Solanum lycopersicum: one gene and its partners. The protein of the gene in region 1 interacts with the protein of each later gene in a pairwise test. Links are inferred from orthologs where the notes say so. Each region holds a gene or a part of one and is shown in the gene's direction. Other genes may lie near its edges.

Region 1 (3,851 bases):
GAAGCTGCACCATGTCCTATCTAATCACCTCTACAGCTCTACCCAATACTTCTTCGGTCAACCTCTACCTTTCCTCTTACCCACTATATCCAGCCTCTCACGCCTCCTTGCATCTGTACCTCTCCTCTTCTATGCCCAAACCATCTCAGGCGTTCGCTTCCCTCAGCTTGTCCACCACGGAGGCCACTGCCACTTTGTCCTGGATATCTTCAATTATAATCTTATCTCTCCTAGAATGCCCACACATCCATCTGAACATCCTCATTTTTCTAACTTGTATCTTGTGAACAATGTAAATTGGGATCAACTGTTTACTCAGAACGTCTCATCGCTAACTCTTCTCTGAATCCTGGCTAATCACGTCTTGAATGATACAGTTCCTTAACCAGTAAATTTTAATGACAGAATACATGATCATCTGTGTCAACTTCACAAAGGTTGTATACACTAAAAAGCGGAATTGATGCAGTTTGACAGTTCATCGAACTTTATGTTGGTATCCAACTTAACAAAAACCAATCAAGCTCACACAACTTGTCTTTTAGCTTAGGGTGATCATTATCTCCTAGTAATAAACTGTTGGAATTGCTTTGGAAGAATGGCTTCTGGATATAATTATCTTTCATAATGACAGGTTTATAACTTTATATAAGTTTTACATATATAACATATTTCTTACCTTTGACAATTAGACAACGTTGGAAGTACTCCTATATCTCATAGGATTGAGAACATTTGGTTGTCTAAACTGAGGGATGAAAGTTGCAGGCACATCTGATAGTGAGATACACAATTTAAACGTAAATCTAAAAGATTCTAATTCTGCTGGAAGACTGACAAAGCTACCCTCAACTGCAAAGAATGGTGCCAAATTCAGGTATGCCATTTTCAGGGGCTCCATCCATGTGATGCTACTCTTAAATTAGTTTTCTCTTGACCATACCCATCTAGTCTTTTCCTTCCTTTCTATGCTTCTGTCTTTCCGCACATGGTTAATTACTTATACCTTGCAGTGGGACTGAAGTATCAATATCAATATCCAAGAGCCTTGATGACTTGTTGGCAGAGATTACTTGCTTTCTTCAAAAGGTTCATTTTCATGTCTATCAGCTGATTCTAGCTATGATTTCCTAAATTGTATGAAAAATTCTCTAACTACAGTTTTTCATTGCTATCTACGCAGATGATCCTTCTGAAGATTCCGGTTAGTTCATTACTTTTCTTGAAATGCTTTATATTCAAATCAAATGCAACTATCTTCTCTATAGACCCCTCTTATAAATCATAGCTACTAACTGCTCAGACAGCTCAAGGCGTTCAGTGTGAACCTACTAAATGCAAGTGTATATATTTTGGATGAGTTCACCATGTCAAAAATATTTCTTTTGTTACCAGATTCGCATTAAAATTCGAAAGTTTTAAGCTTTTATATGTCATTTTAACCTACTTCTTTGGCCTTGTTATATTTTGAAAAGCTTACCTTTTTCCCTATCCTGTTTCCTAGGAGTTACCTAGGAGCCTAGGACCACTACCTCTCTGTGGCTGATGGCTTGTTTCTCTTCTTACAGAAAGTTGTAATGGAACTCTTAGTATGTGGTGATGATCCTTTGAGTTCACAGATTGAAAGTCGTATTCTGGCAATTGAGGGCAGCTCTGCATATTCTCCTATTGAAAGCATAGAAAGCTTGAAAGTGGGACTCAAGGATTATATTCGCAAGCACCAAACTTGCTTCTCAATTGGGTAAGTACTAGAAAGGTGCTAGGTTTTGGTTAATGAATGATGATGCATTCCAACCTCTAGTTTTTGTTGAAGGTTGGATATAATGTATTAGTAGGTCTAACTTCCACATGTTGAAATCATAATTCTTAGGTGCTAATATAAAAAGATAACAAAGAGTACACTTTGACATAGTTACCCTGAACTTTGTCATTTCCTTGTTTTACATGAACTATTTCATCTACTAACTTTAAGCTAGCCTTTCATTCTACAATTTTCCCATTAAAAAGTGTGACATTTGCAGTTCTTCTCTCTTTCTTATGTGGTTTTGTCTGTATGCCTGACCGTTCATTAAGCTACTTCAGTGTGATATAAAGTAGTGCATTATTGTTCTGAAATATACAATTTGTAGATTTTACCTTCTTGAAATACTGGTTACAAATAGTTAGATTGAGTGAAGATGGGAAAAAGAAGCTTGGGATACACTGGACCAGGTGAGAGAAAATCAGGATCAAACATAAAAGGAAATGCTAGAACTCCAACCATAGAAGCAGACTGAAGGAGGAGTAGAGGCAAGACAATTGATCACATGTAGCATGCAGGAAGTAGTACTTAAGTTATTTAAAATCTGGTTGACAGCTCAATTGACTCCTTCAATTTGATGTAGGAGGATTTAAGTTTGATAATGTAATTTAGTTAAGATCTATTTGTGGTGCTAAACGGCTCATATGGTATATGTAAAATTGCAGCATCTCATATAAGATCTTTGGAGATGTAACTGTTGTGCAGAGCCAAAAACAAAACGAAAATATCAATGTGCATTGCATTAAACACGGCTGTACATAAAGTCGTTGTTTCTTATTTCAGGGAAAACCTGAAGGTTGGAACTGGGGTTGCTAATTCTTCAGATAGTTCTCAGGGAAATAGCCAGGTGGTGGAAGCTGTTGTGATTATCAATGAGATGTCAGAACTAGTTCATTCTTCCAGCATCAGTGAACAAGACATGAAAACAGAGGTTTGCTTTGGATTAATTGAAGAAGACTCTTAAAAGCATAAAATATGTTTGCATTCCAATATCTGCTTTATTAATTATGTTGTGATCAAATGTTAGATAATAGTTCACTGTAAAGATGCCATGTTGCATATTCTTTCCCAACATCTTTTAACTTGTGTTTTGAGTTCATTTGTTGTCCTAGAATGTGTGGATTGTGAAAACTAATGATAATATCACAGATATGCATTCTTTGGGATTTCAACTTTCCGGGATCTTTTATCACTATGAATGTCTTGTTTTCATATAAGCATGGTGCACAAGGTGAAGAACCTTGTGCACTTTATGGTGTGTGGAGGCTAAGATTTATGCAATTTCCCCTACATCATGGAGTAGATAGCTATTTATGTGAGTAATAACTGAAAAATATTTTTGAACTTCTGAGGGCCAAGAAGTGGACCTTTTTCTTTATGGCCATCTTGATGACATTGGATTGGATATGTTACATTACACATACAACAACTATGTCTCAATCCCAAGCAAGTTGGGGTTGGCAATATAATCCTCACGGACCATGTGGCTCCATTTATGTTCATAAATAGATTTACATATCAGGAAACAAAATTCTATGTGGAAAGTGTGATTTTCATATTGTAATATAAAATAAACTATTTCCTAAAATCTAGAGTATACCCAGTGTATACCAAACAGGATACATTAATAATCCGATCTTATTATACTGTGGACAAATATAGTCTCTGGTATTGAGTCTAATTAAATATTGCTTATTAAACTTCGAGGATATCAAAAGTTTTTGCTAAGTGAACTATACAAGTTATAGGTTGGCTGTCCCAGCCATTTCTAGTCCTTACAGTTGTTTCCAAAAGTATACGATGGAGGGGGACTTAATATCTAATCTCCAAAGTAAACGAAATACAAGTGAGGACACAAAGGAAGGTTTTGGAGAAATCCTATTTATCAGTTAAGCTCACAAAACAGGTGCGATGAACATATGAAGATTCCAATATGAATCCTCACTTACTCACTAACCTTGACCAATTCCTTTTTTCTGTGTCTTGATTCTAAAGTTAGCAAAGCCAACTTTATCCATGATATAAACTCCTCTCACTGCTTGAGGGAGCT
Region 2 (4,513 bases), on another chromosome or scaffold:
ATGATAAGTATTCGTTAAGCACTTTTAATTACTACTCATAACTGTTATTATTGGAAACTGGAAAAGGCTTGACTTAATCGAAACCATTCCAAAGCAAACAAAGATTTAGGGTGTGTTCGCAATCATTTTAATATTTTTCCTTAAGAAATTGTTTAAAATATTTGTCTTAATATACTTTGTCAAAACTAAAATTCTCTCATTTTGCACTTGTAAGTACATAAATAACATGTATTAGAATAAGTTCAATGATGATTAGAATAAATTAAAATTTTAATACATGCTATTTATATACTTACAAATATAAAGGTGACATATAAAAAAGAATGAAAAAAATAACTTTTCAATATAAAATAAAAATGAAAGTGTCATTTATGTATTTATTTTGTGAAATAAAAATTAACATATAAACAAAAACAAATAGAATAAATATTTTCATAATATCATGCCAAATATATAATAAAAATGAACGAATAAAGTATAAAAGATAAAATAAACAAATAAATTTATTAAAAGAGTAAATGAGGAAAATAACTTTCCATTTACCCTCTTACAAACCTGTGACAAAACACGATATTTCATCACTGAACAAGAAATTAACTTTAACATTAACAATTTTTAAAAAAAGAACACAACATATCTATTGCTACGTTTTAATTAGCCAAAATAAATATTGGCTACACTAGAAAAACATAAAACCTTTTTTCAACTAAAGCTAAATACTAATCATCCTAGCAATAATAATCCCATTTAACTTGTAGCCTTTTCATTTAAAATCTAGCCCTTCTTTTCATCCCAAATTGCTGACACTTTTTTCATAGTTTTAGTAATCAAACGGGCCAGTATTATCAAGCTGTCTGCAAAGACACAAATAGGTTTGATAAAGAACACGATCCTTCGCACCCGTCCTGTGGATTTCATTATGTTTGCAGAAATACTTGAGCTGATCAAGCGTACAAAATCCAATAAACTGACCCAATAGCAAAAATACCCAATTAATTGATTTCTTTTTCGATGAGATGATCGGTTTCACACTATTCTCTTGTTCGCAAAAATTGCAATTCAGATACATCGGCGACATCCAAATATCCGGTGCGCGTTGATGCATAGACTCTTTATTTGCCGAAATAAAGCTTCCTACTTGTGCAAACTTATCACACAAATCAAATCCTATTTCGTATTTCCTCTCACATCTTCTGCATTGAACTTCACCTGTTATCGTTGAAATCTGATTCAATCGTAGCACATTAAGACTGTGAATCTTCGCTCGATGATTAGTCGCCCATGGATAAGGCGCCGGAATCGTTTCGCTTTTCAATGTGCGCTTTCGTTTACGTGGACGGCGAGATGGTGGTGGCGGTGGCGGTGGTGGAGGTGGCGGTGCTACGACGGGAGACGGAGAAAAAGACAGAGACAGTGTAAGTAAGCTATGGTCGATTTCATTGCTGTTTGTCGCCATTGTTTTGTTGTTTGTCTACAGAGAAATGGTTTTATATATAAGGAAGAGAAAAATGGAAATGGGAAGAAGTTTGTTATGAATAGTACTGTAAAGTGTACGAGAAGATAAAGACGAAACAGAAACAGAGCAGGTAGTAATTCCATTTGGTTTAGACTTCTTTTTTTTTTTTTGAATTTCGAAAAAAAGTTGGCCTTTTCAAATTCTGTTTTAGAGGGAATGAATTTGTTATGTGTTTTTATGTACAATTATTTTTAATAATAATTAAAAAAAAAGTTCACAGATTATTTTTTGTTTAAGTTAATTCTTCTAGATTTTTTAAATTTATTCGATTGAAGCTAATAAATTATTTCCTATTTTGTGGTGGTCTTTAATTTCTAGGCTTCAAGGTGAAAAAATTAAAAATTAACTCATTTAAACGATAAATTATACAATTAAATGATTGAAATTTGTCCAATTAAATCGTTGAGGTGTTTCACGCTTTTTAAAAAAAGAAAATTACAACATAAATTAGACATAATTTTCTATTTTTATTGTTATTGTATTGTTAAATATATGATTAAAATAACTAAACATTAATTAATAATTAATTTCAATACTAATAATAAAATTGAAAGAACATTTTAAAAATAGTCTTGAAAATTAAACAATTAAGTTCATTTGACAAAAATAAAAATATTTTAAAAATTCAATTAATATAAAATGAAGGAGAATAAATTCACCCGGATATGCAAAAGTGGGCCAAATCAAACACTATATAAATGCTTAGCCTCTGAATTCAAAATTGCAGATTTACCGCCATTTTGAAGCTATGGGAGAATTCTGCAGATCAACCATTTTCTTCTCCGATCAACACCTCTGCTATGCCGATATCCTTCCTTCTTCACAGGTAACTCTCCGTCACCAAAACATTCGCAGATTTCTAGCAGTGTTGAATGTATAAATTGCTTCATTTGGAAGTTCAATTAAATTAAATCGGATCGATATATTTTAGTCCATGGGAAAAGATGAACTGGTAGATTCAAAGTTCTAACCATGTCGCGATTGCAGCATGTATTTGTTTTCTGATATAATCGAATTTCTGTGTTCAGGTCCGAGCTCGAATCGAAGTTGCGGTCCTGAATTTTCTTAAAGCTCTAAGTTCAAACTCTCCGTCAATTTCTGATCTATCACTGGTTTGAAATTTTACATCTTCATCTTTTCGAAACGAAATCTCTCTATAATTTGCACTTTTAGCTTACTTCATATGCCTGCTGTAAGCATCATCAAGTTATAAACAAATCCAAAAAAAAGTTGATAAATCCATTGGATTGATGCTTCGTTAATTGTTCAGAATGCTTATTGTTCTTAATTAAGCAACTTTGGGAGATTTATATGTGAACCTCTCTGTCACCTCAAAGAACAAATGACTTACCAGTTTTGGGATGAATTAGGCCTGAACATAAATGGATATAGATGATTCATATAGTGGACGTCAAAAAGAGGCATAGTTGATGATTTATATATGGCATATGTGATGCAGATCAGTAGGAACTCCAGCAATAGCAGAGTGAGCCGTGGGTTACTTACCGGTGATTCATGGATCTTCCTGTCCCATTCTTTTTGCACGCGTTCTTTGACGAGAGAGAATAGTGCTAAGTCATTCATAAGAGGTAAAAGGCTACAAGTTTCTTACCATCAAATTACTTATTAGACAAATCAATGACGCTGGCAATGTTTTTGTGATCAAGTTTGGAAGGTTATGGAGATGTGCTACCAAATTCTGGTTCAGGAAAAGAGGGTGACACAGAGAGAGCTATACTACAAGCTGCTCTGTGATTCACCAGATTACTTCACTTCTCAATTGCAGGTTAATAGGACCATCCAAGGTCATTGTTCTTTCTTCTTTCTTCATCATATCTGAATATGATCTGTGTGTTCGGTTGATTTTGTTAACACGAGGTCCTTCATTTACTATCTATGAGGAACAGACTTGGTGGCTTTGCTTCGATGCAGCCGTTACAGCCTTGGAATAATGGCATCAAGCAGAGGGGCAATAGCAGGCCGTTTATTGTTACAGGTACTATTATCAACCCTTTGGTTGTAATTTCAAATGTTTATATTTTAATTTAATCAAACGCGTAGCAGTATTAGTATTTTGACTTGGCCAGTAACATGATCTGTCATATTGGAATGAAATAGGCCATGTACAACAAATGGATATAGAGAATTCATATAGCCCATCTCAACTAGTTTATGATTGAGGCACAACCGATTGTTTGATTTCAACATGAGCCAACCTAGTCAAAACTTTCAATGTTTCCAAATTTCTATAGTTGATAAGAGCTAGCTGCTGGTAGCCGTCTATGATCAACTATTTTGCTTTGTATCTTGAATTTGTGCCAAAACTCAATGAACCTATTACTTAAATGATGTACAAGTCTCTAAGTTCCTATATAAAGCTTGTTCAAGAATTTGAAATAGGTAGTTTATCCAACAGTTAGAACTTGGTATTTCTTTCTTCAAAGATGGACATATGACTTAAGTTTGTTTCTTTACACCACTGAGATAGGAGCCAGACAAGGAAGTTATTGACTGCTCTGCTTGTGGATCTTCGGGTTATGCTATATCAGGAGACCTGGAATTGCTGGAAAAATTAACCATGGAAACAGATGCTCGATACATCATCATGGTGGAAAAGGTATTTTATCACTTGTTGGGAACTCTAGTCAATCATTTTTGCAAGAAACTAAAACTAGTTCCACTTTTTAGCATGCTATATTCCAGCGACTAGCAGAGGATCGTGTATTCAATCACATCCCATGCATTCTGATTACTGCCAAAGGATTTCCTGATATTGCAACTAGGTGACGTGAAGATTTATAAACATCTTCAAATAGAACTTTATTCTGATGTTCTAGCTTACAGAATAGCTGCTAGGAGATTGTCCATTCAAGTATTAATTCATAACATATTCTAATCTGTAACAACTTATTCAGGTTTCTGCTTCATCGAATATGTCGGATGTTCCCTAATTTGCCAGTCTTGGGGCTGGTTGACTGGTATAACTGACTTGACTAG
Region 3 (4,541 bases), on another chromosome or scaffold:
ACGAGTAACAAAGGGAGTGATAATGATGTCCTTCGTGATTGAGCAATATTGAACTTGCCGGCGAGTAGTTGTCATCGAAATTTCTCCATCGAGGGATAGATAGAGAGAGAGAGTTAAAATCGAGGGAATAGAGAGAGAGAGTTAAAACCAGAAAGAGGAGATGAAACATAGAGTCATAGAAGACAAAGTGAGACCCACTGGTTCTATTTTTTTTAATTTTTTTTTTGTTTACGCACCTTTGTTTTTTTAATTTGTCATGTTAGCCGTTGAGGTGTTATTCAATTCACTTGCAAATTTTCTAAGGGAGTACTTAAACATCCGTAAAATTACAGTGCTAAAGTGAGTTTTGGTGACAAGTTTGAGGGGGATTTTATGTATTTTCTAATAAATAAATGATTTTCCTACTTATTTTTTAGCATTTGGTTACTACAAAGAAAATATGAGTTTTTTGTCAAAACCATCCCTAAACTATACCACAAATTTAGATTACAACCTTCAAATATTTAAAAGCGAACAGTTTTTATCTTCTGTTAGATATCGTCAAAAAATTAAGGGATCGTACAAAAACATGAGCAGTTCATGTGACCATCAATAAAGATTTCCTGCATAATTTCGTTACTTGCTATAAAAAGTTCTTGAAAAAAACATATTGAAATGTGTGAGGATACTTGATCTGCTCTTTTTCTTATTTAGTAACAAAAAGAAGGTGGAGCTTAATTATCTTACCTTTTTCATAGTCAAACTGTATTTAGATCAATAATTTTTTTGGCCAATCTGACGTTGAAGTGATCAAAATATTGATTTTGTCTTGTATTTGAGTTTCATTCTACATTATTCAAAGTGAAAGTCTCCAACAAATGTTGTTCTAGAATATTCAATCTCGAGCCGAAACCTAGGTCAAGCAGTGGTTTGAGACTCAATCTCAATCATGATTTCAAATCGAGATCGGAAATCCAACCTCGAGCCGAGATTATTGGACCTTAATCTCAAGTCAAGGTCGAGTACCAAATCGAGGTCAAGTCAAGTCTTGAATTGAAATTGGGGTTGAGTCTCGAATTCAAGACTAATTCAAAAATTAAAACAGAGGGGGCATCATGACTTAAAAAGAAATAAAAAACCTATGCAATATAACGCCATAAATTTAATCAATGCATCCAGTAAGTTATGATTAATACACCCTCAAGCAACTAGGTAGGTCCGCGCTACGTCTCGAATCAAAGTCAGTGTTGGAAATCATGAAGTTAGATCCCAACTCAAGGTTGGAAATAGGGCTTGAGGTTGAGGTCAAGCTAAAGATCAAGATCAAGAGTTAGGTATTGAGTGAGGGTTGAGATCAAAAGTTGGTTCCTTGAATGGATAGGGTTGGTGGTGAGGTTCGAATTTTTTTTCTTAATTTTAAGTGGAATAGTTATTATATCTCATATTGAAAAAATATTTTTCAAAATATTTTAAGTTAATAAAATATAAAAATTTCTAAAATATTTTTTTTTCTAAAATATTAACCTTCATGCCCAACACGCCGAGCTAACTTGCGCGCGCAGCTATAAAGCTCGGCTTTACCAATTTACAAACAACGTGAACCTGCAGAGCGAAGAGGAAATGGAGGGAAAGCGTTCAAACACGCGGCCACTAACACTCTTAAGGAAAATCAAAGGTAGCTAGCGCTTCCATTGAACTTAAATTTTTTCTGAGAAATGCATTACGATTCTCGCGTTCAATACATTGATTCTCAACAAATCTTCTTCGCGTTTAAGCCACATATACTTTGGTTTTGTTTTGCAGGATTTACTCGTTCCATTGTTGAGGATCTCGCTCGAGGTAGGCCGCCGCTGATCTACATCGAACGGTTCAGAAATTACTGTACTGACACTTCTGGAAATTGGTAAGACGCAGTGTATGTATGAGTATATGAAATGATCAGTCAAGTTATGCGTAGTGAAGTGCTTTTTTGTTATCTGTTCCTTCTTATTCGAAGATCTGGTTGAAAACAATAAATGTATGTTGCAGTTGAAAATTTCATTGCAAATAGTGTTTTAGAAAACTCAAAAACTAACACTGAATTTAGCTGTCGATTTCCTATGAATTAATAAAAAAACTACCTCCATTGGTTCAGAAATTTATCTACTGATACTTCTGAAAATCGGCAAGACGCATATGTGTGTGAGAATGTTATTTGGTTGCTTGAGTATATGAAATTATCAATAAAGTTAAACTTAGCGAAGTTTTTTTCTTCTTTCCTTCTTTTTCAAAGATCTAGTTGAAAAAAATGAATGTGTTCTGCGGTCTGAAATTTCATTGCAATTAATGTTTTAGAATTCTAACACAAAATTTTACTGAATTATTGTTGATTTCCTATCTATTGATAGAAATACAGGAATGTATGATTCCTTTCTGTATTACAAGGCCTCCAAACAGATTCTCCTTGACGTAATTGAACTGAAAATTGCAACTGATGAAGATCCACATAGGTGTAAAACGCCCCCAGCACCCCCAAAACAAACCCTTACAAAAAATAAAATGTAGAGATATCATTATTCTAAATGTCTTGCTCAGAAGAAGAACGAGCACAGTCTATACTGAGAAGTTTGTTTGTAGAAGCCATATCCTAATCCTATTCTAAGACACTAATAAGTACAATTAGTAATAGTTACGTTGAACAGAGTTCTAAAAACAATGAAATTTATTGAAGTTGGTGTTTGAATGGCTAATTAATACCATCCAAATTTTCTGATAGTATTAATGGTTTTTGTTTTATTTATGTAGCTCTTGCAGCTCCGGTTTATCGACTGGCAAGGAAGCTATTTCCTTGAAGAGGGAATGCCATGCACGTAGGCTTGGTGAGTCTAGGGAGAGTAAACAATACTTGTATATTTCATCTATAGTCCTCATTACATAGTTGACAAGAAATGAAATGATCAAGAATGGGGTAGGAATGATTATTAAAAGTTGCTATCCTCACTGAAAATGACAAAATTTCCAGGAGAACTATATTTCCCCGTTTAGTTGATTTTCTATACTTTTGTTGTCCTATATGAGCCTCCCTTTCATTGATGTTACACAGGATGCACCATGTAGGGTGGGGGACGGGGATTGGGATGGGGTAGTACAAGGTTTCTCCCTCAGTTATCTTTTCTGTTTGGTCGAATCAACTTGAAGGCACTTTTTGCTCTCCAATCTCCTTAACATCTTAGAACCTTGCATGGTTACTTCCTCTTTATGTTTTTGTTTCAGATGTTATGTTGAGAGTTCTACTGATAGTTCAACAACTTCTGCAAGAAAACAGGCATGGATCAAAAAGAGACATATATTACATGCATCCTACTGTTTTTAAAGGTAAATCTGAATCGGCCTCTGGTGTTACAAAGTTGTTACTCCCCTGTTAATTTCGTAGGACATGGTTGGACTTTATGTACTCCAGAATCAGTTTTGAAATATTCTTGTGATTGCTTATGAAGTTTTTATTCGGTGGAAAATTCGTATGTGCTGTTGTATTGTTCAGCGTTCTCAGTTGGTAGAAATCTGCCATGATTTAGATCTCTAATGCAAAATTTATGTATTCAAAGATCTCGTCTTCCTTATATGCTCATCATTTTCTTTTGCACTCCATAATGCAGAACAATCTGTTGTTGATCGGGCAATTAATGACATATGCATCCTCTTGCAATGCAGTCGGCATAACCTTAATGTGGTATGTCAATCTACTTTCCTCTCCATATCAAAATACACTCATTTTAGATGTATATCCACATGTCCTCACTATTAGCAGAGCCCGTTGAAATTCTCTTCTATTTTTATTTAGCAAGATGTTCATTTTCACAGTGGAGGATTCAATTAGGGTTCAGAATATTGATATTAGAAGTGGTCATTCTGCTACTTATACATGCTTTTGACACACGAAACGGTAGATCACAAGTATCTAACTCTGCCTTCTCTAGTGTAGTTGATTAGAAGGATGTGAATACTGTTCTCATATAGAACTTGAATATCAATTTCAGAGAATGAAAATGATATTGCTAGACTAGGGTAAACCCATCATTCAAATGATTAGTTTGTTCTTCTTTTATTGCTAGTCTTGTAGGAAACTTGACATTTTATATACTTTTGATGCTTGCCTTCTGCAGGTGTCTGTTGGGAATGGGTGCGTACCTCTACACAGTTAATATTTCCTTGCAGGAGTGTGATTCTAGACACATACAGTTTGAGTTCATTATATGCAATGTTCTTTCTCATACTTGACATTTATAATTCCCCATCTTTTCTTCTTGAAAATTCAAATGTTTCTTCTTCAGTTGATTATGTTTATACCTCTTGCATTGTCTGAATGTTGCTACATTATGTATCTAAATTTCTTTTTGGGGAGCAAAGTTACTTCATGATTGAGAGTGTTGACATAGTCTATCATGTTACAATAAGCTTTTGCACTTTTAGCAAGGTAAAATTTAATGATAACCCGGAGAAAGCATGTCAACTCTCAAGGAGTACTATTGCATCATCATTTTTGGCCTACTTTTAAAGATATTGGTGGTAGGTGTAGATCAAGT
Region 4 (3,757 bases), on another chromosome or scaffold:
GCTCGTCTCTCTTCTCCGTATAACATGTAGCTACAAATGATAATTTATGAGATTTTTTAGTGCTATATGTGAAAGTTTCCCGTTTTCAAAATAACAATGTAAACCAAGTCCAAAACATATTGGGCCAATAGCTATTCAAAATCCTTGTGAATATAGGAAAGTCCTGGTTTGTTCCTCCCTATTATAAAACGCCCTCACATTGTTACAATTCTTACCATCCTTGTATCTGTCCTAGCATGAAACCCTCTTCATCTTCTTCCAATCAAAATAAGGAGGTCAAAATAATCCATTTACAAAGATATTAAATAATTTGGTGGGGTGATAGGACACTGTGGGGGTAATAGGACACTTCTTTATGCAAATACGAAACAATTTTGATGGTGTCTTTATGTCTTTTCTCTCGTGCTATATGATATAAAAGAAATCTTAAATGTTTGTTGCAAAGAAAATCAAGATGCATCCCTTGTTTTATTACATTGGTTAGAGTTTTTACGGAGGAGGAGTTTATTGTTGTTCAAGGTGGAGTCGGAATTTTAATTCTATAGCTTCTATTTTAGGAAAATGGCTTTAAGTATTGATAATTGAGTCCTAAATGTAATACGGTACATATTTAATGAACTTTCTAAATTAATTCGTTTTAAGAAAAGAAACTGCTTGAGTTAGCTGAATCTGTATCTAGACACGATATTTTTATTGTTTATAAGTATATAATACCATTTGTATTTTATTTTTAATTGTGTGTAATGTCACTATAATGAAGTAAATTAATAACAAGCAACTCTTTATTTGCGAAGAAAAGAACAAATCTACACATGAAGACATCTCAAATAGATAAACTGGTTTATAAATATGGAGAAAAGTATATATCGTTTAAATTTGTCATCACATCGTGAGAGTGAAGAATGAGCAACTTTTATATAATTTGGTGATTAATATATGCATCATTTTCTCTACCCCTTTAATGGTTAATGTGTATACACACTATATAGTCTTAGTGATGTGATTTGTATCTACCCTCCTCATGTTCTGTGGAATTATACTAAATATTTTGTTATTGTTGTTATTGTCCCAAATATTAAAAAGGATAGTTCGATGCACGATAGTATTTGATAAATTGAAATGAACTACTTTTTTCGTTTAAAAAAGGATGACCTAGTTTGACTTGGAACGGAGTTTAAAAAAAGAAATAAGAAATTTTAATCTTGTGGTCTAAATTAAAGTTATGTCAAATGTATCAAAATGCACTTTAATCTTGTGGTCTTAAACATGTCACGTGGAAAGTTAAAATTAAAGTGTTGCAAAAAAAAAAAAGGGAAAATTCGCGTAGACATATTGCGAATGAATTTACAGTCCGTCCCCATTAACCCCTCGGGCATCGACCCAGGAAGAATCAATTTTCGACTTATTTTTAAAACAAACTAAAAAGAAAATAGAGACATTCTTTTTGAAACGAAGACAGAAAATTATTCGAGAATATATTTAAGAGATTATTTTGGACATATACCGAACTTTAGGGACCATTTTTGCCATTTTCTTTACTTTAACCAAAGCCCTAAGCACTACAGTACCTATCCTCACATTTATTGTCATTTCCCGCTTCACCTAATCCCCGTCGCCGATGGCCGACAAGAAGAAACGCCGGCGAGCAGCTCACGACTCCGATTCCGACTCCGAAAGCCGGCCTTTCCAATCCAAGCTCAAACCCGACTCCGTCATCCTCCAAACCCTAAAAGCACTCAAATCCTCCTGTTCCACCACTTCCAAAACCCTATCCCTCTCCGACGTCGGCCTCTCCTCTACCTGCCGTGAAGTCGCCGACCTCCCAATCGATGAGGTACAGTCCGAAATTGAATCGTTAGCGTTTACTATAGCTAAATCCATACTCTCCGGTGAAGGTTTCTCTTTCTCCGTCCCTTCCCGCGCTGCCGCTAACCAACTCTATGTCTCCGAACTCGACCGCATTGTTCTCAAAGACAAATCATCGGCTCGCAACTTCGGTAATGTATCTACTGTTCGTAAAGCAACAATTACTCTTAGAATCCTTCAGCTTGTTCATCAGCTTTGCACCAGTAACATTCATGTCACAAAGCGTGATCTTTTCTACACCGACGTTAAGTTGTTTCAGGATCAGACGCAGTCTGATGCTGTATTAGATGATGTTTCGTGTATAGTTGGATGTACTAGGTCTAGTTTGAATGTGGTTGCAGCTGAGAAAGGAGTTGTAGTTGGAAGGTTGATTTTTAGTGACAATGGCGATATGATTGATTGTACGAAAATGGGAATGGGAGGGAAAGCTATACCTCCGAATATCGATAGAGTTGGTGATATGCAGAGTGATGCATTGTACATATTGTTAGTCGAAAAGGATGCTGCGTTTATGAGATTGTCTGAAGATCGGTTTTACAATAGATTTCCTTGTATAATCGTGACTGCAAAGGGTCAACCGGATGTGGCAACTAGGTTGTTTCTGAGGAAGATGAAGATGGAGCTGAATTTGCCGGTTTTGGCATTGGTGGATAGTGATCCTTATGGGTTGAAGATTTTGTCAGTGTACGGATGTGGATCGAAGAATATGTCATATGATAGTGCGAATCTGACTACCCCGGATATCAAGTGGTTGGGTATTAGACCGAGTGATTTGGACAAGTATAAGATACCGGAGCAATGTAGGTTGCCAATGACTGAACAGGATATTAAGACTGGGAAAGATTTGTTGGAGGAGGACTTTGTGAAGAAGAATCCCGCGTGGGTTGAGGAGTTGAATTTGATGGTGAAGACTAAGCAAAAGGCTGAGATTCAGGCGTTGAGTTCGTTTGGATTTCAGTATCTGTCCGAAGTATATTTGCCATTGAAGCTGCAAGAACAAGATTGGCTATGAAAATCAAATCTTGTTGTTTAACTACTTCAATCTTATCGTATTAATTTATGCCTAAAGTTAAATGCATATCTTGTATCTCGTTTACTGTATTTTTATGGGGAGCGTCTTGTTGTGTTAACGCATCTTCGTTCTTATGATTTTGAGTGGATTGGTTTGATTGCGCTTTTTTGAGTCGACCTCTCTACCCCACAAAGGTAGTGATAACTTTTGAATGCGTCCTATCTCTCTAGACCCTATATGTGACTTGTGGGATTATAGTGAATATGTTGTTTTGTTACAGGATGCTTTCCCGAAACAACCTCTCTACCCCACAAAGGTGGGGATAACTTTTGGGTACGTCCTATCTCTCTAGGCCCTACTTGTGATGACTTGTGGGATTATGATGGATATGTTGCTACAGGATGCTTTCCGAAAACAACCTCTCTACCCCACAAAGGTAAGGTTAAGATTTGCAGATATCATGTCTTTTCCGTTGTGTAGTTGTGATAGGATGCTTTCTTTGATCCACGATGATGCAAGAATATTGGAATGTTATGAAGCAGCTACATATATTGTGCGAGAATAAGAACACATCATTTTCTTTTGTTACTTTTGTTTACATTTGATGGTAAAATGTGAAGTTTTTAGCATGTGGTATATCATTGAATATACAGTGTTTATTCGGCTGTTAAAGGGATGAAAGAACTCTACGAAAAGAAAGAGTTCGTATAAATCTATACATATCATGTTTCGTACATCATTGCACTACAGAAGCATCTAACCTTCTTGTTAGCCAGGATTGCAGTGACTCCTTAGTTATCCTCATTTTTTGCAAAACCACTGGTTTCCTTGTTGGAGAGTGCACGCTTGGTCGTAGAATGACTCTTTCTGCATTTTCTT

Evidence for each region.
Region 2: the proteins of type 2 DNA topoisomerase 6 subunit B-like (region 1) and meiotic recombination protein SPO11-2 interact in binary tests that used the Arabidopsis thaliana proteins (3 or more experiments, as listed by UniProt). The link is inferred for Solanum lycopersicum from reciprocal best matches to the Arabidopsis thaliana genes AT1G60460 and SPO11-2.
Region 3: the proteins of type 2 DNA topoisomerase 6 subunit B-like (region 1) and meiotic recombination protein SPO11-1 interact in binary tests that used the Arabidopsis thaliana proteins (3 or more experiments, as listed by UniProt). The link is inferred for Solanum lycopersicum from reciprocal best matches to the Arabidopsis thaliana genes AT1G60460 and ATSPO11-1.
Region 4: the proteins of type 2 DNA topoisomerase 6 subunit B-like (region 1) and DNA topoisomerase 6 subunit A interact in binary tests that used the Arabidopsis thaliana proteins (3 or more experiments, as listed by UniProt). The link is inferred for Solanum lycopersicum from reciprocal best matches to the Arabidopsis thaliana genes AT1G60460 and RHL2.

Annotation. Positions count from the first base shown.
Region 1 is NC_090805.1:43,449,670-43,453,520, forward strand, and holds part of type 2 DNA topoisomerase 6 subunit B-like, read left to right. Parts: intron 1-768; coding exon 769-877; intron 878-1,013; coding exon 1,014-1,089; intron 1,090-1,183; coding exon 1,184-1,204; intron 1,205-1,568; coding exon 1,569-1,741; intron 1,742-2,584; coding exon 2,585-2,732; intron 2,733-3,851.
Region 2 is NC_090807.1:66,786,197-66,790,709, reverse strand, and holds the start of meiotic recombination protein SPO11-2, read left to right. Parts: upstream 1-1,456; 5' UTR 1,457-1,586; intron 1,587-2,243; 5' UTR 2,244-2,264; coding exon 2,265-2,342; intron 2,343-2,544; coding exon 2,545-2,628; intron 2,629-2,975; coding exon 2,976-3,105; intron 3,106-3,183; coding exon 3,184-3,321; intron 3,322-3,423; coding exon 3,424-3,512; intron 3,513-4,004; coding exon 4,005-4,133; intron 4,134-4,204; coding exon 4,205-4,299; intron 4,300-4,431; coding exon 4,432-4,494; intron 4,495-4,513. Other genes in the region: uncharacterized protein, read right to left, coding at 821-1,456. UniProt on the Arabidopsis thaliana protein: Component of a topoisomerase 6 complex specifically required for meiotic recombination. Together with MTOPVIB, mediates DNA cleavage that forms the double-strand breaks (DSB) that initiate meiotic recombination.
Region 3 is NC_090806.1:69,637,904-69,642,444, reverse strand, and holds the start of meiotic recombination protein SPO11-1, read left to right. Parts: upstream 1-1,498; 5' UTR 1,499-1,599; coding exon 1,600-1,654; intron 1,655-1,782; coding exon 1,783-1,882; intron 1,883-2,763; coding exon 2,764-2,837; intron 2,838-3,231; coding exon 3,232-3,333; intron 3,334-3,614; coding exon 3,615-3,688; intron 3,689-4,121; coding exon 4,122-4,138; intron 4,139-4,541. UniProt on the Arabidopsis thaliana protein: Component of a topoisomerase 6 complex specifically required for meiotic recombination. Together with MTOPVIB, mediates DNA cleavage that forms the double-strand breaks (DSB) that initiate meiotic recombination.
Region 4 is NC_090808.1:1,314,195-1,317,951, reverse strand, and holds DNA topoisomerase 6 subunit A, read left to right. Parts: upstream 1-1,512; 5' UTR 1,513-1,618; coding exon 1,619-2,878; 3' UTR 2,879-3,039; downstream 3,040-3,757. Other genes in the region: pentatricopeptide repeat-containing protein At5g02830, chloroplastic, read right to left, coding at 3,615-3,757. UniProt on the Arabidopsis thaliana protein: Component of the DNA topoisomerase VI involved in chromatin organization and progression of endoreduplication cycles. Relaxes both positive and negative superturns and exhibits a strong decatenase activity. Involved in cell-elongation processes.